Linked DNA regions of Mytilus edulis. The protein of the gene in region 1 purifies or fractionates together with the protein of each later gene. This does not show direct contact. Links are inferred from orthologs where the notes say so. Each region holds a gene or a part of one and is shown on either strand. Other genes may lie near its edges.

Evidence for each region.
Region 2: the proteins of syntaxin-18-like (region 1) and vesicle-trafficking protein SEC22b-like purify together in Homo sapiens (affinity purification with mass spectrometry; 5 studies listed by BioGRID and IntAct, counting the BioPlex papers as one, with this or other methods). This does not show direct contact. The link is inferred for Mytilus edulis from reciprocal best matches to the Homo sapiens genes STX18 and SEC22B.
Region 3: the proteins of syntaxin-18-like (region 1) and signal recognition particle receptor subunit beta-like purify together in Homo sapiens (affinity purification with mass spectrometry; 3 studies listed by BioGRID and IntAct, counting the BioPlex papers as one, with this or other methods). This does not show direct contact. The link is inferred for Mytilus edulis from reciprocal best matches to the Homo sapiens genes STX18 and SRPRB.
Region 4: the proteins of syntaxin-18-like (region 1) and RAD50-interacting protein 1-like purify together in Homo sapiens (co-immunoprecipitation; 6 studies listed by BioGRID and IntAct, counting the BioPlex papers as one, with this or other methods). This does not show direct contact. The link is inferred for Mytilus edulis from reciprocal best matches to the Homo sapiens genes STX18 and RINT1.

Annotation. Positions count from the first base shown.
Region 1 is NC_092347.1:80,145,793-80,153,065, forward strand, and holds the start of syntaxin-18-like, read right to left. Parts: upstream 3,021-7,273; 5' UTR 2,737-3,020; coding exon 2,587-2,736; intron 1,432-2,586; coding exon 1,364-1,431; intron 1-1,363. Other genes in the region: TM2 domain-containing protein 2-like, read left to right, coding at 3,147-3,283. UniProt on the Homo sapiens protein: Syntaxin that may be involved in targeting and fusion of Golgi-derived retrograde transport vesicles with the ER.
Region 2 is NC_092345.1:3,362,756-3,370,095, forward strand, and holds the start of vesicle-trafficking protein SEC22b-like, read right to left. Parts: upstream 3,010-7,340; 5' UTR 2,861-3,009; coding exon 2,786-2,860; intron 1,230-2,785; coding exon 1,114-1,229; intron 1-1,113. Other genes in the region: protein transport protein Sec16A-like, read left to right, coding at 4,897-7,340. UniProt on the Homo sapiens protein: SNARE involved in targeting and fusion of ER-derived transport vesicles with the Golgi complex as well as Golgi-derived retrograde transport vesicles with the ER.
Region 3 is NC_092356.1:41,361,805-41,368,914, forward strand, and holds the start of signal recognition particle receptor subunit beta-like, read left to right. Parts: upstream 1-4,086; 5' UTR 4,087-4,131; coding exon 4,132-4,255; intron 4,256-7,110. UniProt on the Homo sapiens protein: Component of the signal recognition particle (SRP) complex receptor (SR). Ensures, in conjunction with the SRP complex, the correct targeting of the nascent secretory proteins to the endoplasmic reticulum membrane system.
Region 4 is NC_092352.1:32,415,841-32,423,390, forward strand, and holds the start of RAD50-interacting protein 1-like, read left to right. Parts: upstream 1-4,536; 5' UTR 4,537-4,590; coding exon 4,591-4,713; intron 4,714-7,550. Other genes in the region: SUMO-conjugating enzyme UBC9-B, read right to left, coding at 1,254-1,337, 1,555-1,620. UniProt on the Homo sapiens protein: Involved in regulation of membrane traffic between the Golgi and the endoplasmic reticulum (ER); the function is proposed to depend on its association in the NRZ complex which is believed to play a role in SNARE assembly at the ER.

The DNA.
Region 1 (7,273 bases):
CAATATTTGTGCATTGTATTGTCAAAAACAGCTCATATTTATGTAGCAGAATCATTTTACTTTCCAAAATAAAGCTTATGGATTACATTTTCACAATTTTCTAAAACTGCTATATTTTGGGGCCAAAAAGGGGTCTTACTGAACATACTCCTTTCTGTTATTTCAAGGAAAATGTCTTACACACTTGCCAGATTTACATTATGTTTTCACGGTTATCTCAAAATATTTTATCAGTCTGCTCAACATTGAGATTATGAATGTCAAACTGTATTTAATGTTTAAATATAGCAAGATGCTTATTTTTGAATTGACTGATGTTTAATGTTCTGTTAGTAATCTGTTGATTACATTCAAGATCATAACATGTAAATGTGATATGAATATGAACCACAATCTAACTAACACACAGCAGTCATTCCCAAGATTGCAGAGTTTAGTAAAAATGAGTCTGATCCAGTAAAGAGATATGCATTACTGAACCAAATAGCAAGTAAAATTTAAGTTTTGACCTAATCATGCAGGGACTGCGCTGTGCGTCGTCAATGTCGCAATTTGTGATGTTTTATTTCATCGGGCGACAAAAACAGCTGCTGGCGATATTTCTGGCCCCAACATTTAAAACATGTGAAAATTTTCATTTCTTTTGACAATATTGATCTTCATTTTAATTGGTAAAAGTTAAAAAAAAAAAAAAAAAAAATTCTACAAAATTTTACCTGGCGACAAGTTTATGACTTTGTTTACAACCCCATGTTAATCAACAGTTACAACAGGTGTCATAATCTGTTGTTACAGATCTGTTTATCGAATGGGTCATTAATGATCATCCACATTAATTAATTCAAATATATATACATTGTAATTGGTCAGTCGGCATTTTGTCTATTTCATTTGAAGAAATGTTCATACAACAACACAATTTCCAATGTTTACCGTAGTTTTGATTCATGTGTGTAAAAGACTTATAAAAAAAAAGAGTCTGGTCCAGTTAAGACAAATTGTTTACTGGAACAAATGTGCAATGATTTCTCAAAGCCATGGGAAAGATTTATGTTCAAATTTAGACTGGTGTTACTTAATTCTAAAAATTATTGTATTCTGTTTATTTTAACTATTGTATGTGTACATGGTGTATCTCTATGTATGTGTGCCTATGTTTTTAAGATAATTCATAGATCACTCTTGGCAAACTTTTCAATCCCTTTTGACATCATTGTTAAAATAAGTATGGTTGCCTATAATTGCTCACATCCATTTTTTTTTACCTTTGGTGCAAAGTCGTCTCATTGGCAATTCGACCACATCTCCATAATTCTACAAATGTATATGTGTAGCGGTAAATAATTTTGTCATATCTAATTACCTGCCTGCATTTACATAATCCTTTCTGTGCTTTAGTAGAAAATCTTTCAACTGTGTAATGGTTGATACCTAAGAAGAATATTGAAACTATAAAATAACTGTTCAATGTGGGTTATAAATCAAAACATTTCAGGTAATATCAGAATTATTTTACACAATCTTGAAATACCATTAAAATGTTAAAAGTACAAATTGATAAAGATTTGCTTTTTTTTAAACAATAAGAGTCAAAATAAAATTGAGAATGGAAATGGGCATGATGAGGAATATGTCAAAGAGACAACAACTTGACCAAAGAGCAGACAAGCCACCAATGGGTCTTCAACGCAACAAGAAAATTCTGCAACCAGAGGTGGTTCTCAACTGGTGTACTAGTTCAGTGAAAATTGACATAAAAAATCAAGATATTGAAAAATTTAATTTTTTCACAGAAAGGAAAAAAAATGCCCATCAAAAACCAAGAAAGATTTTATCTCTCTTAACCCTTTACTCCATGGATATTTTTTTTTAAATACTTGATTTCGCATAGGACTTTTTTCAGTAAAAAAAATCATCAGGTTTAAAGTGTTAATGCATTGTGAAAACTAATATTTCAGTGATCAATGAAATTCAAGTCAGATATTCTCATGAATCTCCTTTTCATATTGGATAAATTTTTTTGAAGTCTGATGCAGACATTTTGGAGACATAGCGTTTCAACTGAGGTACTACACAGGCGTCATTAAAAGATTATGGAGTAAAGGGGGTGGCGTCAAAAGGCGTTATTATGGAGGAAAGGGTTAAACACTAAATGCATTTAACTTTTATATACATGTGGATGCTAGGCCTTAAAACTTTCCAAACAGCACAGGTAAGTCTGTACACAGAGTAGTTTTTGATGTGAAAAAACAGTCAAATTTGTCCATTTGTTTAATGATCAATGAACCTTAACAGAACAAGCTTTTATAAATAACGTTAAAAAATCAGCAGTATATTGTCTTTTTAAACATCTTGCAGTGATATCTGTATGGTTACGACAAAGTTACCAATTCTCGCTTTAACTTGACGAGAGATAGAGCGCCTATTGAAGATGTTGGAGAGCTGTAATTATAATGCACTGTCTGTTTATATTTATTTATTTGAAATAATTAAAATTTTATTTGTTTTACATTAAATCTGTTTTGTCATTTCTACACTTAATTAGCCTTCTTGTCACCAATAAGAAGTGAAACCCCTTATACTTACCAATCCTTTTGCTGTGTTTTCAAAATCACTCCTCTGTTTTGTGGCAGGGAAAATATTAGTAAATTCTTTCTTTCCATTTTCCTTTGAAATCTTATTTCTACTTTTTATAGTTTTGACTGTCGCTTTAAATAAATTAGTAACATCTGACATTGTGTTGAAATGAGAAAAAGGTAAACAATATGTGTGACAGGTTACATATATATATGCTTCCAACTTGGCACTTTTCGGTTCACAGATTCATATGTCAACAACGACGAACTTATTTTTATTTTTACTTGATTATTACTGGGTAGTATGACGTGAATTGTGTGGCCACTTACAGCAAAAAATATATCATTAACTATCTTATTTATGCAAGATACTTATTACAATGATTGAAAATAAAATAAAAATATGTTGGCAACTTATAGCAACATTTTGGTCTTCAGATTTTGTGCATCTATGTCGATTTTGCGTTTGAAATAAGTACCGATTTTTATTTGATTAAAAAGAACATAAATGACTTTGAAATAATAATGAAGAAAAACAAAAAATGAAAATGTAGAAGTTTAGCAACCAAAATGATTAAGACGGACATTTGCCTTCATTTTATAGTTTTACTCTGTGCTGTTTCAAGTATTGACATAGAAGAATGTTATGAAGACAAATGTGACGAGCTTTACGTCCCTCATGCACCACTTGTTTTTTGTACAAATTTGTAAGTGGTTTTAAAATTAATAATCGGAACATCCTGTCGAGCATGCCGATGAGAGCGGACGTGAAAATTTTTGCAGAGACAATCCTTCAACATCATTGAAATTGTTTTGTCAAATTGATTTCATGGATAAATATTATTATCCTTACATCGTATATTTTATGATTTGGATTATATTTTTTTTGTTGAGAAAGATTTCTGCAGATATTTTCAGGTTTGTTTGAGACATGTAGTCAGATGGGATCCATTAGTAGTTTCCATGTGGGAAACTATCAGACCAATCTATTTGATGTCTGAGGGTTTTAGCTGTTCCCCTAATGGATCGGTAGTTTCTTTCCGAGATCCTTTATCATAGGATTTTCGGCTTTCCTCTACCAGGAATACAGCTGGGCATTTAGCGGTATCGGTTTGGATTCCAAGTATGTCCTCTCCGGTTTCCCGTTCGTTGTCTAGGCATTTGTGCGGCATCCGGGGTGACCTTATCCTTTATTTTGTATATAATGTTTTTTTATAATATGCATTTTTTATATTTTTGAGGATGAGTGAGTCAGGTGAGTGGGTGTGTTCGTATGCTTTATTACATTGTACTTATTGTTTTGGGGAAGGTTAACTTTCTGGTAGTAAGACCCGTCACGGCCAGGCTGGGAAACTGGATAGGCAAATGCTCACATTAAATCTGTATCGATACAGTGTGTTAAATGTCTTCCTTTTTACACCATAACCCATGGTGGTGCTCCTACTAAAGGAGGGAGATACGGAACATACATACATCCCTTAATTAAATATACCTTATTGCTACTACTATTACTGGAAATCACACAGGTTCCCGTAAAATTTCGACGTCATAATACAAATTATCTGACGCCACTGAAACGGGGGTGGAGTTTCCACTGGCTTTTTTTTGTACAGGGAAATAAAAAACACCAAAGATGCAGAACTACTTCAACAAGATCTGGAAACCCTACAAGAATGGGAGAATGATTGGCTCATGGAATTTCATCCCAAAAAGTGCCAAGTCATTCACATTACCAGGGGTTAAAAAATCCACTAGCCCGACGCCCGGGACTAGATCATTTACGCCTCGGGCAATTAAAATGTGTAATCCGATATGCCCGACGGACTAGTAACAAAAAATTCTTGACGTTTCCAAAATAGAAAGTGAAAAATCCCTTCATCACTATTCTATGTTAGCCATTTCGATTCAATTAAGTCATCCGGGATCCAAGAATTTGAACTGGTTTGTACAGGTCCTGTTGTACATATTTTAAACATAGAACAAATAACTCTGGCATGTCTGGGTGGCCTGGTATCATGTGTTGATTCTCGTACTTTAAATATCGATTTCTCATACCATTGATTGAGGTATTGTACATTGCTTATCGTGCCGAGATTTTCGATTAACGTTATTTGAGGGTATGATGTATTGATTGGTATTGACATGTCTTGTTGCACAGCTCTTGAGCACGAAACTATGCAACAAAATATTTCTTAATATATTAGTACGGGAACCCTAGGAACTTTGTCAGTTTCTAAACGAAAAACGGTAGATGAATGGAGTAACGAGGCTGAAAATTCATCCCCCCCAAAATGCTAAACCGCGGAAAAACAATAATAGCGTCCAGGACAGCAGGGCTGTCAAGTCTTTAGCGCGAGACTCACACATGTTCATGCTTATTTGGCGGCATTTTCCTTTGATCTGTTGTTTTTTCTCTTTGATCTTAACAATTTGGCCAACAAAAAACGCATTCACTTCCCGAAAAGTTGGCAGAACTGGGACACAATGATTACCTTGGCTGTTGCTGATGAAAAAAACAGACAATGCTCTGTGAATATTGCCGTTAGTTGCCCCAAGCTAGCCAATAAAAAGTCTGCTTTGAATGTGGGAACAACTTAGTTAGGTTAAGCACCAAAAGAATAATAACAGATCAACAAAAAATATTAAATACAGTGTATAATGTCTCCTTCAAAACAAAGGGCACCTACTTTGTATTGTGCAGCAAACTCTTAATTTTTAAGGCATACTAGGGCTAGCAGGTCAGTTTTTATGGACTAGCAGTTCTTCCAACAGGGCTAGTAAAATCCTGCTGCCAATAAGTCCTGGGCTAGCTAGCTGTAACAAAATTTTTTAGCCCCTGATTACCAACAAGAGGAAACCAATCAGACAGCCATATATCATCCATGGTCACGTCTTAGAGGAAGTAGAATGTGCAAAATATCTGGGGGCCAACATCCACCACAAACTAAACTGGACTACTCACATAGACCAAGTAGTAAGAAAAGCCAACAACACCAGGGCTTTTCTACAGAGAAATATATCACAATGCCCACGAAAGACCAAGGAACTCTGCTACAAGACCCTTGTGAGACCACAGATGGAGTATGCAAGCATCATTTGGGATCCACACACAGCAAACAACATCCACAACCTGGAAATGGTACAACGTAGGGCAGCAAGATTTGTTACTGGTGACTACCACCGAACCACTAGTGTAACAAACCTATTACACCAGCTGCAATGGCCAACCCTACAAGAGCGTAGAGCAACGAATAAAGTTATAATGATGTACCGCATAGTTAACCACTTGGTTGCAATACCAACATCCTGCTTAATCCCAACAGCAGCAACATTAAGAGGACACAACCAACGATTCCTTGTTCCATTCGCAAGAACGCAGCTTTACCAGTACTCGTTCTTCCCAGACGCCATCAGATTATGGAACAGTCTACCACCAACTACTGTAGCCTGCAACTCAATTGACACATTCAAGTGTGAGTTGCAGAAGACCAAGATGTATTAAGGACTGTGCGAATTTTTTAACTGTACATACTATTTTTTAACTGCACTGTAAATATTGGTTTGTCTGCACCACGCATCAGTTCGATAATACACCAGATGGTGGTATGAACTGTATATGGAAGAAGAAGAAGAAGAAGAAGGCTTCGCTGTCTTCCTGTTGTCTACCCAAGTTCTGCTGGGATATTGGACAAAGTATGTAAAACATGTTAACATAAACAAGATGTTTATTTAAAGACATACATATGATTGAATTATAAGTTACATACAAGAAATACTAAAATATACGGTTGTGGCTAGTCTACTTGTCCTTTTAACCATGTTAACATGTTTAAAGTTCCATATTTGAAAGCCAAAACAGTATGAGCTTCTGCTCATTTCAAATCCTAAGTGTAGACTGCCACAAACCTGGTGAGTGACTTCATACTTATAGTTCCTAGGGACAACAAGCCCGGCAGGGCCCAATGTCAGGCACGTGCAAGAAGCAGGAAGTCCTGACAAGAATAATTACATTGCCAGTCTCGGGAGAAAGAGTTACGGAACTATAAGTAATACTAATATTAACCAATTTCCCCAAATAAATAGAATAAACAAGAAAACAAAGTGACTACCGTTACACCACAATTGAAAAGTGATTGTTGTACATGTATGACGTCTATAGTTCAAGTGGCACCGATCCTCAGGTCAGCCAGTAATAGCCATAACATGCATATATAAGGTGTATATTATCCCTAGAGATTTTGAGATATTCTTTTCCTGAAATATGATCCAAATGATTGGTCCAACATGTGTATTGTGGTTGACGTACAACATACTTGGGAGGTCAATCCTCAATCTTAAGGCCTGTTGGAAAAAATTATCTCAATGTGCAGGTTTTCTCAACCGTGTGTTTTGCTCAATGTTTTTTCTTCTCTGTGCTTTAAAAGGGTATGCGCTGGTTAACATTGGGACTAAAGTATCAAATCTGCCAGTTCTGTCAATGTAAGGCCAAGTGTGCTCAGTAGCTTTAATGTCTTGAAGGTTACTTTTCATTAGTGTGGACATCATTCAGACAAAAGACATTTGATAATGTCTTTCAGAAACTCAACTATATTTATATATGGATATTTTTAATGAATAGCATGAACTTCCACCAGGATTGAAAGCCAACAAGTGTACAATAAAGGCAATCAATCAATGATTTCCTTGCATGTTCTTGA
Region 2 (7,340 bases), on another chromosome or scaffold:
ATTGTCACATATTGAAATTGATGTTGCTAAAAGTCAGAAAATTATGCCACTCTGCCTGTATGAGTATGGAAATATAACATGTATAACTTGATTTACAAAATTGAGTAAATATCCATACAATGTATGTACATCAATTATGAAAAATTACATTCCATTCTTCAAATTCTTTGTTTACCTGTTTTTTTATTTTTCTACAATGGTTGTTCTCATTGTCTTCTGATGACATTTTACATAGAGAACATGTTTTTAAAGTTATCAAAAAAGATCGGCAAAGTACAAATGTATTGCAAAACTATTTTCCATAAATCATTAGAAAAACAGAATCCTCATTGTATCTCATCATTTATTGCATGATAACATATATTTAATATAATATGAGTTGGAAATTTTAATAAACTAGAATAAAATAGAAATTGAGTTGAATGAGTACATTAAATTTAGACACTATGATAATCTATGAAGTTAATTTTTTTTATCCCATGCAGAAGCAGCGTATTACTAGATTTCTAGTTTCTTGAACAACATGACATGTGTAACATTTGGAGCAGGAACTTAATTTGATATATTAGATGAAAGAAAATGGTATTGTCTGATTTTGGACTTTGGACTTTTGATTTTTGAAAACCCTACTGGTATTTTTCTTTATTTTTTTACAATGTCAGTTGTATATAACTTTTACACAGGAAGTGTTATACAAATGTATGTAATATTTTTTACAAGGTCCTTCATAAAATTAGCAAAGTAAGTTTTGTTCAATCGCTCAGGTGTTAAAGTAATTGTTGTTTATCAGTGGGTTTTTCCTCATTGGTTTTTAATTATATATTTCCTGTCAGTATTATTTTTATGTACTGTAATATTTATAATGATATCTGAATCAAGTTTATGTAAATACTATCCACAATTTATACTTATACAAAAACAACTTAATGTACCCTGGATAACTGTCTAAATATAAACTTTGAAGAAGGTACATGTGTATACGAATGTTGACCACTTGATCATGTTGATGTTTGATTTTCTTGGGTTGCTTATCATAAAAAATTATTTAAAATCTCCTTTTATCTATGAATATGACAATATATGTTTAGCATGTTTAAACTATGTTTTACTTACTGAAAAATATATGGTCCAGATTCTAAACTACATCTTCCTGGAGGCTGTGGATCGGTTGATATCTTACGGAAAAGTTGTTTAGCTTGTGCCTGGTAGTCCATTAAGCTTCTTCCTGCCTGTATCAAAAAGAGTGGAAAGTTCAGGACAAAGTAATGATAAAATAACTATATGTTAATTAATATCAGCAATGGATATTTTTAAGTCTGTCAGATATATTTGAGTGCTTAAATCTCTAAGTAAATGTTTAAATTTCTAAAAAAAAAAAAAAGTGAAGACCCCCCTTTCATTTATTACGATTTTGTCATGAAACTAGCTACAGTAAACGTTGTAAATTGTGATTGTAGGATAAATTGATTAAAATTGAAATTATGCTGACTGCATGACTGACAAATTAATTAATTTTAGAGTATTGTTATGACCAATCAGATAATCGGTGTACATGTAACAATAAATTTACCACTTTCGAGTTCATCCGTCACCGGCAAAAACTCGTCAATTATGCGCGCCTTTATGACGTCATTTACCAGATAGAGGGGATCGCCTGTATCCCTGTACTATTTACCTTCATCAAGCGTCTTAGTGATCGTCGTTGTGCAGGATAAACTAGAAATAATGGTTGTTCTGTCGGTACTTAATGACAATTCCCTAATAACAGCAATGCTGATTGTCAATTTTGAGAATTTAATTTGCTGAATAGTTCGTACAATATAGAATTATAGTTTTCCAACCACTCGCTCAACATTGAAACGGAAGTGACGACGCCCCTAAACACACAAATGACGTTCACTAAAACCAGAGTTTTTGACGGAAATGCATCGAACTCGAAAGTTGTCTATTATGACACCTGTTGTGACAGTTGATTGACACACTTGTCATAATTTTGTTGCCAGGTTAAAAGATAGACTTATAGAAATTGATAAACTTCAAAATAGGTAACAAATAATTTTTTCTGGTATAATTTGTGATACCAGTAATCGGGATTTTGACTTGTTTTACGATCCCGAAATTGGGTTGGGGCATGAAAATCAGCATGATATTGCCATATACACCTTCTCACTATTCCCGCTTTTTTTCTATTATGACATCAGAATTTTACGGGAACTTTTGTGATGTCCAGTAATGGCAGACAAATAGCGATAAGGTGTATTCAGAATAGTTGGCAGGTCTGTGAATTTAATACTGTCTTAGTCGATGGAATTACGTATGGTCTTAGTACAGTTTGTAGATTGGTAGATGGTAAAAATTGACTTATTGATAGTCTAACACTAAGTTGTCGCTTGGAACGAGTTGTTTTGCACCAGGCTACAATACACCTTATCGCTAATCCCAGCTGACCCGGCCGCTTGAACTATTGTCGCATACAACAATCACTTTTCCATTGTGGCGTCATATATTTTGTATTGTGACGTCAAAGTTTTACGGGAACCTGTGTGATATCCAGTAATGGCGGACAAATAGCAATAAGGTGTATGTATATCTTTTTGGAATTTTGGGAATTGAAGAAGATTCATGGACCTAACCCGTGGCCTGTTGTGTAACTTGTTCTGATCAGAGTGATCGCTTACTTTGACGTGTTAGGAGATTTTGTAATTTCAGAGATAAAACCAATCTATATGAGACATTTGACAGACAACACCACAGCTGTCTAAAACATTATTTGAAATAAAATAACCTGTTCATCCTCTTGCATTGATGCAGCTAAGGGCAGTGCATCTGCAACTCGTGCGATCATGGTCATTAAAACCATTCTGGCAACGATTATATCAAAGAACTCGTTTAATGTACATGTATGATACTAAGACTGCATGTGAGGTTTGTTATGATGGTATAGCTGACGTGGTGCGCTTGACGGATAAATAATTTTGACACTTCCGGTAAACAAAACAATGTACTTCCGGTTCAGACACCCAGCAAGTTTCACTGAAAACCTTTTAAATCGCAAGTCACTGTTCGTTTCTTAGGTAAGACAACTACAGATTTGAGTACACATAAACATGATCTCATTTAATCCCTTGATAACTGTGAAGAAGAAAAAAACGAAAAAAACAGTTAAAAAGAACGTAACGAAAGTGCGCATGAACGTCACACGTAACCACTGAAAGCAATATGGCAGCATTGTGGCCTTTAATAATTTGACAGCTTTCATGACGTATTCTGTCAGCACACACTAATTTGTACAAGTCAAAAGGTAGCTTTTAAGAATAATAATGAGAGAATGCATTGAATCCAAACTGAAAGTCGGGGATTAACGAATTAAGTGATGATGAAAAATGAATGTCATCAGCTGTTTCCCTTTCTTTCTGTTTGTTTATGTTTTTAATTAACCAGTGTTCGAACTAGTAAATACCATGCTTTAAATTCAATCTGATACTTGTAGTTTGATAAAATTAAATTTGAAATTTGTAAACATCTAGATAGATAATGTAGATATACATGATATATAGGTAATCGAGTTTTAATAAAAAATTGATGGTAAAGCTTATAAGCAGGTAAACCAACCCAGCATATGTTACAGCCATGTTCAACTATCGAGAATAATTTGATAAAAGTGGATATATACTGTGTTCTCCCCAGGCAGATATGTATAAATACTTTCTTAGCTGCAACACTTACATTGACCCACTGTTTTCGAAGATAATCCGTAGTGTGTAGTTGTTTCGATTATTGTATTAATTACATGAAGTAGATCAATACACACGAAATGTTGTTACATATTATTTAGTCCATGCATTGTCAATTGTTCATTTTAGACCATTTGTAAGTTTAATATACGCTTCATTATGTTATAAAATCAATTGTGAGAATTAGAGTCAAATTGGTGGACATGGATTTTATAGCTAATACCCCTTTAACATGTTAAGGACAAATAAAATTTTATTGAGTGTTTGTTCAACACAAGCTAATTAACTTTCGAGTTTGTAGCCAAAGTTTACAGGACTATGGAGCAGATGGAAAATAAGTGAATTTTAATAGTGCGATGATATCTGTGATTGTTTTGTTTTTATTTTAATTTTCTATGCATTCCCATTTGTTAAATAGACTTTTTCTTAACAGGTGTTATCTTCCAATGCACGTTTGTTTATATTCTTTCATCAAATTTTTCCCTTCACGCTTGCAGTTCGGCCAAAGTTGTAACGAGAGGTATCATAGTTACATGTAAGGTCATTGCATAGGGGAAAATATCAGCAAATAAATGTATGGGAAGACAATAATTCATTAACATGTTACATATCTGAAGGATGTTCAGTTCTTATACTTGAAAGTTCACATACACTTGTTTACCGAGTAATGGTAAAACTTAGCTATTCTCATGTATACAAAGCATGATTAACTTATTTTTTTAATTCTGAAGTTTTATATGATCATACAATGTAAGATATGCAGAAGGCTATCTATGGTGAGAGTAATATGTTTTGAAATCTTTAGATGTCACTTTCACTTTTATTTGGTTTTTTTTTTTTTCTCTCAGAAATAAACATGTTTTTCAAAAGTAAAAAAATGTAATAAAATTTGAGCATGGAAATGTTCACTTTTAAGTTTTATTTTATATCTTTGTTAAAAGAATATATAGGACCCCTTACTTAAATAAAAATAAACAGAAAATAAGTAAATAGATAAACTACATAGATTATTGAATGTCTTTTTAAGTATTTTCAAAGAAACAATATTATATTTCTGTTTCTAGCTTTTATTCATAACTATCATGACTACCATGACTACTTGAATTTAACTTTCTTTTCAAAAAAAAGGTTCATGTATACTTATCATTATTGTATTTTCAGTATGAGCATAACTAACCCCTGGAACAGTGGTGCAGAAGGGGCAAAAGGAAATGTCAAACTTTTTAATCCAGCAGAATTTCATCAAAATGGACCATCACCACAGACTGATGGAACTGTGACAGACCATAAAAACCAATCCAGTTGGAGCCAGGGATGGGGAAATGACAATCATTATGGACAATATAATGGTCAGCAGTCAGATCAAGGCCTCGGTCAACAAGGTCAAGTACACTATCAAGGTCCAGATCAGAATTCTCAACAATTTTATAATTTAAATCCAGGTATACCACAGCAACAGTCTTATAATCAAGATTTGTCAAATGACCACCAAGGACAACCTTTTCAATCATACGACCCAGGTCAAGCACAGTCTTTCCAACCATATGACCCAAATCAAGCACAACAGTATGACCCAAATCAAGCACCAGCTGTTCAACAATTTGACCAGCAAGGACAGCCCATTCAGCAGTTGAATGCTGAAGCTCAGGCATTTCAACCATATGGATCTCAGGCATATCAAAATTATGATGATCAGGGTCAATATAATAACCAGAACTATGAATGGAATCAGTATAACTATGGGTATCAACAAGGTTGGAATAATACTGAAGCTGACCAGCAGCCTCCTGGGACAGATATTGTAGAATCAGGCCAAAATCCTGACTTAAATGTTCAAAGTGATAGCCAGTCTCAAAATGTTAATAATGAAAATTATACAAACACTGACTCAACAGAGTTGTACAATACAAATGCATCTAATGCAGGAAAAGTAAATAATGAGTTGGGTACATCAGGGGGAGATAACCAACATATAGCTAGTAGTGATGCTAGATTGTCTAAAGAATTGGACCCAAATTCACATGTACCTCAGCCTGATATTAGTAGTGAAAGTTTAGTAACTTTAAATAGTTCTAGCACACAACTTGTCGAAGATAATGTTCAATCAATTGAAAATCAAATGGGAAATATGTATGTTGAGGAAAAATCAAATGAAAGTGATAGAAAGGTGGAGGACATAAATCATTCCGCAATAGAGGGTCAAGGCTCCTCTGTTGATGGTAATCCTAAGGTGTCAACAGAGTCAAAAGATTCTCCTGTTAATTCACAGACTTCTGATGATTGGGAATTGGTGCCTTCCGATCACAATTTACTAGCACCTAGTAATCACAGCCGTCAGGGTTCTACAGATAGTAGTGCAAATGTACAATTTTTTATAGGCTCCACTAATATATCACCATCAGAGACACCAAATACTGCAGAAACAGGTCATACTGAGAAAAAACCAGCAGAGGGTTCACCTCCACATAACCTAATACCAAAACATTCCTCATCTCCCATGCCTCCAAGAAATAACATTGCTGAAAGTACTGGTCCCCCATCAGTCTCAATAAACCAGCCACCTCCAACAGGACTAGGGCCATCTGGTGGGAACCCCTTTAGAAAGGGAAAGGGTTCTGATAACAGGACTAGCCGTAGTCCTAATATATTGAAGAACAATGAACATGTAAGTCAACCTGTGACTATTTCTCAAAATGAGGGACTAAAGTTAGATATAAAAGCTGCGGATTCAGGATTTCCTAGTCCTATACAACCTGTGACAGAGGATTCCCAGGATCCTCCTACTCAAAGTCCTATCATGCCAAGGAAGGAGAGCCCATTCCAACCACCTAGACGTAGAAATCTGTCACAGTCCAGTAATTCATTTGATGACGAGAATATATCTGATCCTCGACATGTTGGTGGCAGTGCATCAGATCACCATCAGAGCAACATAGATAGAAAATCAGGGGATAGACACGATAGAAAAACTGGACCAATGAAAGCAGATAGAACTATAGGATCTATTTTACCTCCTCAATCAGCAGGTCGACAAAAGGATTCTTCCATTGATTATAGTAGATTTTCAAATCGTGGGATTGATGAAAAAAGACCTCGTTCACCATTGAGTTCGAGTAGAAGTATAAGTGATAGGTTGACTCCTACCAAACCACCCACAGGACGAACAACACCTACAAAATCGTCAAATGGTAGGACCACACCTGGTCGTAATACACCAAGTCGAAGAATGGAACATGCAGCATATCAAAGAGCAATTGAGCGTCGAAAGAAGGAAAATATTTCACCTGCAACCTCACTGTGGGCTAATAATGATATTGTTCCTAAGAGTAACATATTACTTGCCCCTGCTGCTCCAATGCAGGCTACAAGTACTACTCCAGTGTTTGGTATTGTGGCTCCAAAAGGTAGTGGTGGAACAAGAGAGGTCTTGTCCCCTGTTCAAAATCTTATCACAAGTATGAGTGATCACCTGTCTAGAGAGAACTCACCTGAAAAAGATACAAGTAAGTTGAAAACAAATGAAAGGGACAGACGAGAGAGTACACAGAGGGACAGACATGAAAGGAATTCCTCCATTGACAGAGAAATCGAAATGACAAAAAGAAT
Region 3 (7,110 bases), on another chromosome or scaffold:
ATAGAACAGACTACAGCAGATGGTCACCAATGGGTCTTCAATGTAGCAAGAAACTCTCCAGACCGGAGACGTCCTTCGGCTAGCCCCTAAACAAATATATATATACCGGTACTAGTTCAGTGATAATGGACGCCATACTAAACACCAAATTACACACAAGAAACTAAAATTAAAAATCATACAAGACTAACAAAGGTCAGAGGCTCCTAACTTGGGACAAAACACGGCTGGGTTAAACATGTTTTGTTTAGATCTCAACCCTCCCAAATTACCTCTAGCCAATGCAGAAAAGTAAAGGCATAACCATACGCACAGTAAAATTCAGTTCCAAAGAAGTCCGAGTCCGATGTCAGAAGAGGTAACAAAAGAAAATAATACATAAATAACAACAGACTACTAGTAGTTACTGACATGCCAGCTCTAGACCTCAATTAAACTGATTGAAAGATTATTTCTTCATCATATGAACATCAGGCACAATCCCTCCCGTTAGGGGTTCAGTATTATACCATCATAAAATATATAAGAAGAACATAACCCGTGTCATGCCAACAGCTGATTTGTGATAAAATTGTTTATTTTTAAATAAATGTGTTTAATTCCGATGCAAAGCCCCTATAATATATTTTATAGCAAACGGAAAAATAGATGCAAATCGTGTCAGTATCAAAGCCCTTATTCTGACTTGTAGCTTGCTTGATTGAGGATCTATCTCATTGTTGAAGGCTGCACGGTTTAAAACTCGGTGGGATGGTTATTTCATCCATCATATCAAATCCTCTTATTTTATACGTCCACATTTTTTTATTGAATCAAAAAAGACACAGGACAATTATACTTGAGTCTTATTAAAATATAGAACTCTGATTTCGTTATACTCCATATGAAGTATAACGAAATCAGAGCTCTATATATAATAATTAGACTGGACAGTATTAGTACTCCATTTAGTGTGTGTATATACAAACATGCATTACAAACCATGACGGGAAAACACAATTTACTAGAAATGCAACAACATAAGTTAAATTCAAAATCGCTTGTTTCCCTTTTTACAGTGAATAGAAATTCTTTATTGAAATATTTATTATGAAGATATGTTATGATTGTCAAGGAGACAAGTATTTAACCAAAGTCTAAATGAAGTGGATGTAAGCAATTATAGACAACCGAACGGCCTTCAACAATATGGGAAAATGCACCGTATATATTCGGCTATGAAAGGCTTTGACATAAACAATAAATATATAAACAATTTTAGTGAGAAAACTAACGGTTAATCTGTAAAAATGGGACCTTACGGGTTTAAATGTCAATGATTTTTATGGCAATGAAAAGAACTTATGCATTTAACTATCCTATATACTTGGTCCCAGATGCATCTAGTCAGACATTTCATTTAACGATATCAATATACATTTGTTGCTCAAAAGCTCAGCTTGGTCAATACAAAGCAGAGAAAAACAAGAATGTGTCCTAGTACACGGATACCGAACTCGCACTGTCATTTCATATGTTAAGTGGATTGTGACATTGGGGCCAAAACTATAATTTCGCAGTAAAATTAGAAAGATCATAATTATCATAGGGAACATGTGTACTAAGATTCAAGTTGATTGAACTTTAACTTTATCAAAAACCTAAAACTTTAATCTGAAGCGGGACAGAGGGACGGACGAACGGACGCACAGACAGAATAAAACAATAAATTGGGCATAAAAATGAAAATTGGTATAGATTGTTATCAGCAGCATGTCTACCTCTTAATTAGTCCAGAACAACCAACTCTACTTAAAGCTAGAATAATCATTCAAACAAGTTCTATAATAGTAGTCAGGGAATCTATCAAAGGGATAGACCGATAGGTTGCTGAACAACAAGTGGTCGCCTACCATATATATATATAGAGAGAGGGGGGCTAAGAGGAAACAATATTGGACGAGAATTGTGTGTTATTTACGAAGCCAATACAGCGAGGCCCTTCAAATGTTCCGAGTAAATAATGAGATAAGACAAGGTAATATTACAATATTTAGCGTAATATTTGTGTCAGGCACTACCTCATTGCTGTCTGCTTTGTCGACTGGTATTCACACAAAATGCTTTCCGATAACTTGAAGCCTATGTCTAATCCGGGAACTGCATATATTGATATATCAATATGTCATACCTTCTTATTTTCATATTAATTGAAATTAGTTATGTATATCGGATTTCTGTATTTATAATTTTATATCAATGTTAACAATAAAAAAATATCATATTTGGTTACTTGGTTTTCTAGTTTACAACCTATTGACGCTGAATGAGGTTGAGTAGACTGAATGAGAAGACATCATATGAGTGCCAATAAGACAACTCTCCATCCAGAAAAGTAAACAATTATGGGTCAAAGTATGGCCTTCAACACGGAGCATTGGCTCACACCGATCATCAGCAAGATATAAAGGGCAACAAAAGACTAGTGTAATACAATTTAAACAGGAAATTACCAACGGTCTAATATATATAAAAAAAACCGAGAAAAACAAATGAAGCACACCATCAAGCGACAACCAATGAACAAAACTGACTAATGATATTAGACTATTATAACATGACAAAAGGGATCATATCTAAAGTTTGACATTTTACAGTCTTATGTTGGATAAGGATTATTTGCTACACTGGCAACTGTTGATGCAATAGATTTATGATAATATACTACTTTAAAAACTGTGGTCATAAAGTGTCAGTTTCCTTATCCAATTGTGTGAATGGTGTTACAAATAAAGTTATAATTGGACGCATATTCCAGTTTCCTGTTTTCGGATCTTTTTAACGGATAAAAATGTTAGTTTCTTATTCAAAATAATAATTTTTGGTCATGGTCATGTAATTTTGTAAGTTTTCTATTCAATCGTGTTTGTTTATATATATCAACTATTCAAAACAAGTATGATACGGTTTTGCTATAAGAAATACAAAATGATGATTGGGGACAAGCCGATCGAATGGTAATGTGATAAAGGCCTCTTTCAATACAAGTCTTTATAATAGACTAGACAAAACATCAATTTGAGAATGTAATTGGGAAAAAAGCATACAATACTAACGAAGGCGTGCGCCAGAGGCCCCTGACTTAGAACAGGCGCAAAATGCAACAGGGTTAAACATGTTTGTTTGAGCCATCTAAAACCTCCAGCCAAATGTAGAGTAAAGAAACACATAACAACACGCACAGTAACTATTTAAACATCGTTTTAACTGAAGAAGTCCGAGTCTGATGTCAGAAAAGGTAACAAAAGAAACTTTGCAAAGTGACAATGATACATATATTAACAAAGGACTAACCAGCAGTCACTGACATGCCAGCTCCAGCTACACCTCAATTAAACAGATAGAAAAATTAGGTCTTTATCATGTGAAAATCAAGCACATTCCCTCTCGTTAGGGGTTTGGTATCATACCATCATAAAATATATGAGAAGAACATAATCCGTATCATACCAACAGCTGCTTTGTGATAAAATTTCAGTTTATTTCCTATGCAAATGTGAAACCCAATGAGTGAATCAATATTTTATACCAAAATATGTCATCCTAAATGACTTTCCAACAGTATTGTAAGTATATTCCTTATCAGGGGCGGATCCTGCCATTTAAAAACAGGGGGGGGGGGTCCCAACCCAGGACAAAGGGGGGTTTTAACTATATGTTCCCATTCAAATGCATTGATTGGCCAAAAAAAAAGGGGGGGTTCCAACCCCCGGAACCCCCTGGATCCGCCAATGCTTATGGATATACGGTATAATATATACATATCTATTTCTAGAATAAATCTGTTTCATGATAGGTTTGGTTGAGAATATGAAGTGAAATATATTAGTCTGTTTATGGTGTTAAAAAGCGTAAGCTATAACAGAGAGCAAATGAAAATAAGTGAGTCTGATCAAGGATTTGTATAGCGTCGCTTTACAAATTCTTGGTCTGATCCGTAAAGATCCTATACTCAGAAACGTTCACATATTCGGACATGTTCGGTTGTTTCCGCCTTTTTACGTCTTTTTTCGATGGAAAATCGGAATACGCTTACATTTCCGTCTTTGGTCTTAATATTATTCACACCGGAAGTTGACGTTGACTGACAACATGGGAGCCAGCATTCAGGAACAAATTTTACAGTACGCAAATATATTGACTGACAATGTCCAGAAACAGGATCCAACTACCATAGGCATCATAGTAGCAATCTTAGTTGTTTTGCTTACAATAGGTAACACATGATATTTTATTTCACCCAAGTTAATGTTGCAATCGCGTGAAGAAATGTGGCCATATGTTTTATCCAGATTTATATGCGGTGCAGGAGCTATAATTTACATTAATAATCAAGAAGAAAAATTAAAAAGACCTGTCTCTAACAAAGGATCAATCTTGCTAGCTGAACTTATAGCAATGAAAATTGTACTCGATTACACAGAATCTTTTTCAAAACAGCAAATTGATACTTTATTTTCGGACAGTCAGACCGCATAATTTAGGTATCTTAACTCTTAATTGGAAAAGTGACAGCTATCATCAAACCATTAACGAAATCAAAGGGAAGATAAAAAATTTAAATGAACATGGAATTTTAATAAACTTAAACTGGACACCAGGACATGCCAACATAAAAGGAAACGATGAGGCAGACTCCCTAGCAAAAGAAGCTGCTAAAGAAGCAGAATCACTAGCAGTTGATGACATAGTGTATACAAAACAAGATGTAAAAAAAGCAGCTAGAAATTCTGTTACAAAAAAATGGCAACGCAGATGGGAAAACAGTAATGCTGGCTGTCATTATTTCAGATTTCATCCTGAAGTTAAAAATAAAGTAAAAAAAGACTACCCGTCAAAAAAATGTACAACATAATCAACAGTTTATGAACAGGTTATTCTAAATTAAATGCATACCAATTTATAATAAACCAGCACATCAACTCGGAAACCTGTGATCACTGCAAAGAAAAAGAAAATGTACAACACTACCTTTTTGAATGTGACCTGTAATCAGATGCCAGAGACAAATTATTTCATCAAATATACTTCATAACAGGACAAATTCCAACAGATTTAGACGATTTATTAACAATCAATTTGCCAAATGCAGAAAATATCAGTCAACTATTAGCGGAGTACATAGAGGAAACAAACAGTTTAAGTGGATAATTTAATTTAATACAAATTTCTTTTAATTTTTAATATTTTTTAATTTTTCATGCCATTCCAATAACCTAATTAACCTTTTTTTTTTTCTTCAAGTGATACATTTATATAGTTCTATAATATTTTTAAAGAGCCACCTACAATATCTAAGTACAAAGGAGAAACTACATTAGTGAAATTAATTTTACAAGAGAGGGTAATTCACAAGAGAGATTACTCTGTCATCACGACAAAGATTGAAGATTGAAGATTTATATACATAATGTAGTTTACAGTGGCGGATCCTGAAATTTTCATTAGTGGGGCTCACTGACTGCCTAAGAGGGTGCCCGCTCAAGTCACACTTTATTGATTCCCTATAATATGAGGCAGGCATAATGCATGCACATTACCTGTAAATGGGGACAAACAGAAATACAGTAACCTTTCCGATTTTGGTTCTATTGTTAGGGATTTTAGTTGTGACGTTACTTATGTTATGACTCATATGCAATGTAAACAAAGAAATGCTATCATCATGTAACGTTTTTTCATATCAAGGAATAATTAAAAATGAAATTGGTTTTGCGTTCATTCCTATTTTATACTAGACTGATAAATATATATTTTACTCAAAGTTTCATACAAACCAGACCGGTAAAAGGAAGAACATTGTAGATTTTTGCGCAGATGCAGGAATTAAAAAACATGACATCAAAAAAATTGAACGATTTTGTTGTTTTTGTCGATCCTTGCAACTTAAGTCGAAAAAGCGAGACATAGCGATCCTACATTCAGTCGGCGTCGTTGTCGGCCACAAATATTCACTCTGTGGATAAAGTTTTTCGAATTTTAATAACTTTCTTATACAGTTATACTATTTTGGATTTGTACCAAACTTGTACAGAAGCTCGTTCATGATCAAAATCTAGTATCTAGAAGGAAATTTTGTTAAAATTTTGTCCTTGTGTATACATCTGTTTTTTTACTTGTAAATGGACTTACATGTAGTTTTCAGTTAAAGTTTTTTAAAACATTAATTAGATTCATAAACTATCCTGAATTTTTACCCAACTTGGACAGAAGCTTCTTACAATCGATATTTTTATTGGTTTTTTTCCTCATTTTTGTTGAGCCTGCGATTAACAGCAAAAGTAGACTAGACACTGGGTTTTGTGGAACCCTTGCAAATTTTCTTAATTACTATTCTACATTTGTGTACATATCTATTTTATAACCTACATCATAATAAATGAACTCTAATTTTGAACAAAAAATTCTCATAATTTTTTAATGATACTGTATAATTTGACTTCTGGGAACACAGGATTCAACTTCAGTTTATCATCAGTCCGATATGTCCTGTCTACATGGTCTAGTTGAAGGACAAGGAATAAAATAAGAGATTATCCTTATAGATACTTTAACCCCTTAAGTAAAAATTGAGTCATAAAATAAGTAAATAAAACTATGTGAAGTACCTTCTTCAAACAATTACATTTTGTAGTTGTTATAACAGTATTTAGCTTGGATGACGTGTACAGCCATTTTACCACATGTTTTCATTAGCCATACTAATAATACCTTCATTATTTAAGTCCATTGTTGCCAAATGCTACAAAATGCATTCAGCTGTTATTTCTGTTAAAAGGTGAAATGACGAGTATTGTCTCATTAAGGAAAAAGTCTGAGAAACCTGAAGCAAATTTAACAAGATAGCAGAATTCAAACAATTGTATTTCTTAATTTCTAATTGCCACAATTATTATTGTTTTGCAAAATGTGAAATGGCCACCATTTTAAACCCTATCCTAAGTTCTTTACTGGTTATATATGACATGTATTAGGGCTGCCAACTCAGAAAATTACTCCTCATTCAGATTTCAAAAGGAATTATTATGGATCATAACATTAACTACTGACAAATATGGCCTTGTTTATAAC
Region 4 (7,550 bases), on another chromosome or scaffold:
TCATTTTTATATAGATTAGACTGTTGGTTTTCTTGTTTGAATAGTTTTACACTAGTAATTTTTGGACCCTTCATAGCTTGCTGTTCGGTGTGAGCCAAGGTTCCGTGTTGAAGGCCGTACCTTGAACTATAATGGTTTACTTTTTTAAATTGTTACTTGGATGGAGAGTTGTCTCATTAACACTCATACCACATCTTCCTATATCTATTGACACATCTGTGTCATCTCTGTTATCGTTCACTAAAATATCGTTATTTGAACTTGATGGACCAGCAATAGGTTGTAATTCAGGTTGGATTGGTTGGTCCGACATCTCTTCTGGATCAGGATCTGTTACTTTAAGGTGACCCTTTGCCTCTACATCAACCCTTACCACCACGGCCACGTGTTCTAGTAGATTTTGGTGGCATGACTGTATTGTTTTTAAGAAATCTACGTATTAATCAGAAATAGAAGGAATGGAACTGTATATATGAAACACCATGTTGACGTTATTGCTGAGAACTGAGAGCGTAGTAAGATTGCGGTATAAACGTATTATAATCGTGGTAGAGCATGCCACAATCGCAGTAGAAGCGTGGTGCAATCGGATAACTCGTGATATGGTCGTAGTGGGAACGTGATGAGCGTCGAAAGATCTTGATAAGTGTAGTGAGGTTGCAGGATAAGCGCAATGAGAACGTGGTATAATCGTAGCGGGATTGTTGTAGAAGGGTAATGAGGATGTAGTAGCATTGTGAAAGCAACGAAAAATTACATTTTTATGCCGCTCATACCGCGACCTCACCACAATCTGAATTTATTTTAGATCGCGGTGAGCGTGGTTCGATCGTTGTCTAGTGGGACTGGGGATTTAGGTACAATAATGAGCTGGTTTTTAAACAAGGTAGGTAACAAGGTTTCAGTCCTCAGGAATACATTTAATACAACAAAGAATCATTATTCTGACCAGTCATAGCTCCTACTCCTAAATGCAATGTACTAAGCATAAAAGCTTCAAATATCAATTTTCAACTACATGTATTTGGTTTGACCTAGTCTGGGTTAGAAAGATAAAACTAGTAAGCATATTGACAAAACTAAAAAAAAGTACTTGAAAAATGCTTTACAGTTCATCTGTGCATATTTACATATATATATATATATATATACAAGAGTCATGAGAGTATTGGGAACCAAATTTCAGTGTTTATATATTTAGTGGTTATCCTGGCTTCCAATCTTTCCAAAAAATATATGAAATCATTATTTACCCCTTTCTTGCCTGGTATTGCACATTCCCAATTCAATAAATTTAATGTTCCATCTGGATTTTTGGTTGGTCTGGCTACAAAACCCTGCAAAGGAAAATAATATAACAACATACTCTCCCTCAAAATAAATTAAATCCTACAGAATATTTGTTACAGGAATATTAAAATGACAAATACAGTGCACTTTTTTATTTACAATACTTCTTGAACAATACAACAAGGAACTCAATGACATTAATGTAATTCTATGAAATAATTTTCTTGTTTTTAGTCTATAATAATATATAATAGTTTGACTTACAAATGGGTGATCTTTCCTCCAAGCTTTTCTTTCTTCACTCAGTCTTCCTACAGCTATGCCAGACATCTTATTAGTTCAACTGCAAAAGTAAAATACATACAAATTTATTGATAAATATTGAAATTGGTTACATGAATTACAAATTTTCCTTCATGTTGTGGATGTAGGTAAATCATGAATTTGAATGGTCAACAGAGAACAAATTTTCTTTAGTCTTTTCGGTTGAATTTGGCAGCTTTGTTCTTTGGCCACTGAACTGTATTTCCCATTAGCAGTTGGAAAAAATTTCTAACAAGTTGAAGTTTGATTTGATAAAACAAATTGCTATTCGTTCAAGTCACAGTAATAAGTTTGTTCACTCATCAAAAGAAGACATAAATAAACAAGTAGCTTTTCTACTAAAAGAAATGCACCTGAACATAATTGCCTGTTTGGTTTGAAAGATCGGAGAATTATAATATAAAGATGTGTAAATCATTCCTCATAAACATAATACATTGTACATGTAGAAAACATCTATAGATCCTAAACATAACTATATGTAGACTACCATTAGTTTGAGCAAATTTGTGTTTCAAGTAATTTATGAAAGAAAACATTACAACATGCAAAATAGGAGCCAACCACAGGATGTTCCATTTTGAGGGCACTGTTTTAGAAATTTGTATACTTTAAACAGGTGATCAAATTGTAAACACTTGAAAAGCCCTAAACCTTATTTTGAGAAATGTATTCTAACCAACCACATACAGGTAGTCATTAATAAATAACTTATATGCAACATCAAACATAAAACAAATTGTATTGTTTTACCACAAGGTTTTAATTAATATAAAGCCAAAGAATATCATTCAGTCTCTATAAATAGTTACCCAGTTTCACTCCTAAAAGGTCCTTTTGTATTTCTTTATTTTATTTTATTTTTATTCCTATTTCTACATGTCTACTGTTAAAACAATTTAGTATATTTGTTTATTTCTCCTTTGAAATTATTATGTGTAGTCCATAAGATTAAAAGTAATTCTATTTGCAGTTATAAATTATTGAAGAAATGGAATAGTTTTAAATAAATATTATCGTTATTTATCTGTACAATTTTTTTTTTTATAGAAATTTTTATTCAACGAAAGAAAATGAAAGTTTAAATTAAAAGAAAATGCCCTTTTTGTTTCTTTTTAACCATATATTAAAATAGAACATCTAAAGCAAACTCTACCTTTTTTCTCTTCAAATATCAACCACCTTCAACAGGAACCCTAACATGCGTCTCTAATTTAAAAAGTAAAGGTATGAGATACTTATATTAGAGTCTGACTTTTATTACTCCAACAAAGTCTTAAAAGATTAAATACTTAGAAACTCCAAAATGGATTTTAATTCTTCTTTATAAACCTCTTTTAAGTATAAACATTACTTTTTCTAAAGTTTTGGATAATGTTTTATATCATGATCAATTAGTAAAATATAACTCATTAGCTGCCAAATAATACAACTTGAATGAAGAAAAAAATATTCAAGTCAAATGTTTATAATAATTGGTTTATTAATTAAAGCAATGGCTTTAATTATCACCATTCACAAAAATAGTGTCTCATTTTTTTTTAACATGCCTCCAGCTATTCAATATAATGTTTATATTGCAGGGTACAAAACAAAATTGTTTTCCTTTTATTTTTGGACATGTTGGAAATCTATATAAATTCCTTCAAAAACATCTTCAAAAATAGGGATGCAATTTTGGAAAGGTACCAGTCAGTACTCCCTTTAATCACAAATGTTAAAGCTAAGTCAAACTGTTTATGATTTTGTAAAACTTTACTTTTCAGCAAAAATGACCTTGACAAGTTTTGTCAATTACTAATACATGTATGTGTTTATACAATTTAAGCATAATTACATTTACATTTACATCCTTAACTATTAAGATTATAACACAAAATTTGTTTATATAACAATAATCAGCCTTTTATATCTCTACCAGTGAGGGTGGCAGGTGCCCTTTAGATGTTTTTACAACAATGAAATGTTCAAAATGGCTGGATCCACCCCAGAGCAGGGATAGCAGTATAGGTCACTGGTGCTGTGTGCAAAAAATTAATGTCTCATGATTCCATTTCTTTGGATGACACTTTGGTGAAAAATTAAACTACATTGTAACAGTAATTTCTTTTTTATATGACAAAATTATTGGAAAACAATTGATTTTTTTACCAACAGCAAATTGGAAGCATGATTTTACTTCAAATTACAGTTTCAATTTTGGGAAAAAGTCACACAGACTAGTCACTTCTTAGTTATCTTGTCAAAAGATTAAGTAACTCAGAGAAGTAAATTATTTGGTCTATAAAAATAGACTAGTCGGTAGTCTAATAAGAATCTTCTTCCTTATAATTGAGTTTTGTTTCTAACAGTCTACAGTAAGCTTAAACTCTGTGGGCCTACCTATGGTCACATTACAAATCTAGTCCCCTTTGGTTACATACAGTATTTACAATAAAACCCAATTGATAAGGTTAAAATTATTAACAATCATTGAACAATTTGAGTCTGGGATGCAGGATGGGGCCTTAACCAGGAAAAAGGGATTTAGTCTGAAGGGGTTGTGGTAATTCAAATGTTTATCATTCAGCTTTGTTTTCAATAGCATGTCATTGAAATAGTTACTCCACGGATTAGAAAGAATAACTTGGATATCCTGTTTCCATTTAGGCAAAGAACCATTCATGATTTTCTTGTTTTAACGAAGATAACACGAAAAAATAGAATCTATTCAAAGATAACAGTTGTATATATAAAATCGTACAAATATGTGAGGGTACTTTTACAGTTTTATGTGTCATTCAAAAGAGTAAATGGTTTTAAAGAAAAATCCTTTCTCATTTCACGAAACTTACCGCTGGAAAAACTATGTCACGTGAACAGATCAATTAGACGCTTTACATTAATCTAACACCTTCGCGTCAAGCGTTTGTACGATGTATGTCAACTATTTTTTTCTAAGGGAAGCAACTATGTAAACAATCCCTTTCTTCACAGATGGCAAAATCAGAGAAGAATGTCCACGTTACAGAATACTTGAACCAAAATATAAAGACTCTATCAGATTTAAAAGATGTTCATAAAAATATAAAAGAAACTGTTGAGTCATTAGGACAACAAGTAATTAATGCCTTAAGTCATAGGAACAGTACACATGAATGAATCCATGACAAATCGCCCCACTGGCAAATCGCGAGTTTGTGAAAAAGTGTGGCGATTTGGTGTTGGGCGTTTTGCTAGTGTGGCGATTTGTCCTGCTTCCCACAGGAATGAGGATGAGCAATTTCATTTTGCTCTGTTTTTGAACTGTTGAAACATTTATGAGGGTAGTAATGGGGGTACCTTCATGACGTATATCATCGTGTAATGTGTTTTCGTACTAATAACAATTTTCACTGCTTACGGTTTTTACTGTTGAGTTTTTATTTAGGTGTTTACTCAAATTTAAAAAGCATGTCCTGTAGATTGATTTTAGGTATCTAGTTTTTTTGTCAATGATTTCTACGATTTTTTACTGTTTCCGATTACTTTGCGATTTTTGTATGTCAAAAAAACGGCGTCATATGTTTTCGTATGAAATAAAAATTGGATCAGTACACGGACAGGAAATGACTACAAAATCCGGAAATACATTTTTTCTAAAGTCGTGGTTCGGGTGATCGCTTAAATCTTAAAAAAAGTTATTAAATACTTTTCAGTACAAAAAATTACTAGTAAAAAGTGTAAGGTTGGTGTTTCGTGTGATGAAATTTTTACGGATTTTGATTAATTTCAGATTGGCACCTGGTTTGTACAAAATACATTATTTTTTCTAAAATAAAATGCAGTTTTCAAAATTTATGATTAAATATAAAAAGTTAAGACTGTTTTCATCTTCATGTATCAAGGATGTATAAAAAAAATTGTCAATGAAATATTGAATAGTTAGATTTTGAACAACCATTTTATATAAGAACCCTGCTAATTTTAACTCGATGGTTTGTAATTAAAACGGCCAAAAAAACACATGACAGTCATACGTCTTGAAGATCCGGTGTCTGACTTGCAAAAAACATATCTGGACTTTATTTTAACCCTTCAGAATTTTTTTCCACAACTATTCTAGTGATGCGTATTTTTGACATTAAATAAAAATGGCTAAATAGGTCAGTTTTATTTAATTTGTTCTAACGTCTTTAAAAAGCGACGTTGAATATGTTTTAAATATATCAAGTTGTAGTGGTGTTGTTGTTCTAAATATAGAAACAGAAAAACATGCCACAATGTACGCGTATGCAGTCGAAACCGACGAAATGTGGTTGATACGAAAACATATGACATACGAAAACATATGACACGACGATAATGGTAAAAATTCTTGCCAAATGACGTTAACAGTAATTTTTAGTGCATGACGATTAATTGTACACTTTCTTTTAGACGATAAAATTATCTGAATTTGACGAATCAAGCTATTTTTTTTCCAAAAATAATGGTGATGATAACTATTTGAGTCTTTAGTCTTTATGAAGCAGTCAGGGGACTTACTTAAATAAGTGATTTTCTAAATCACTGATTCAAGTAACATTATTTCCATAAAGGTTGGAAGTTAGAGTTGTCTTTCTTTAATAATCACCTATTTAAGTAGTACAAATTAATCACTAGAAGAAGTGATTTAATTTTATTGTAGCTTTAAATATAGAATACTAATGATCCAGGGACTAATTATGTTTCTAAACTTATCAGAACCAACATCTGTGTTGTCTAGGATGACCAGGTCATTTCAGGTGATGACCTTGTACTGAATCTAGGATAATGACATAAAAATCACTTGTTTAAGTATCAGACCTCAATTTCCTTCAAAAAAATCACTTCTTTAAGTATCATTCTTATAATAACCCCCACTAATTTCAACATCCCCGAACAGTGAAATTTTTATCGCGAACAGTAGAATTTTATTACATAATGATAATCTGAAAGATAAAACCTTGAACTTCACAGGAAAAATACTCCCACTGCTGGGAAAAATCTTTTAAGAAAATATCAGTTCATTATGTAAAGCCATTATTATAGCATTTTTTCAACTAAAATAGAATTTTCAGCTAAATGATAGCATCAAAGGCATAAACCTTTCTACTTAAAAGAAGCAAAAAGTTCATTTTTTTTAATTTTACTAATTTATAAAAAGATATTTTTTAAACCTATGTGTTTAAAATTTTGAAAAAACTACAAAATCCCAATTTGTGACAAAACCTCGAATTTGCTACTCAAATAAGTGATTTAAAAATCACTTATTTCAGTACATTGTAAGTCCCCTGACTGTTGAGACATCTGACGAATCACAGTAAAATTAAACCAATTTGACACTATAGGTAGTAAAAAATTACCGCTTGATGCCTGTCAGTAAAGGGCATATAATTTACATCCCTCATTTATGCCTAATTTCTATACATGTCTACTGTGCACATACATTTGTAGATTACTAATATTATAGTTGTATATTTTGTGAGAGTTTAATGAAATGAAGGTTTAAATAACCAAATTGAGGTTTCCACAGGGACTTGTCAGTGTCTTCAAGACGAAGTGTAGTATAAAAAATGACCTTCCATTAGTGGCAGAACCAGGGGTTGTAGAAATTCCTTGTTCAAATTACATATTTAAGGTAAAAAAGTGCGGACTATACACAACCAATTACGGTAATGCATATTTTATCTACAAAATCTAATATTACTGCAACAATTCTTTTATTTTTCTTAATAATAATATTTTTAAAAATGAAGTGGCGACTTGTCTTGGTCCCGAATTGTCGAAAACTGATGCCAAAATTACTTCAGACTTTGGTGTCAAAATGTCTTGTTACTGGGTTGTAACCACCCCCTGTTTTAGGATCAATGCTTTTGAATAGGGACATGATAATGATGATATTGTTGACCCCCCCCCCCCTCCTTTTCAAAATGACTGGACTGCCCTCAAATTTT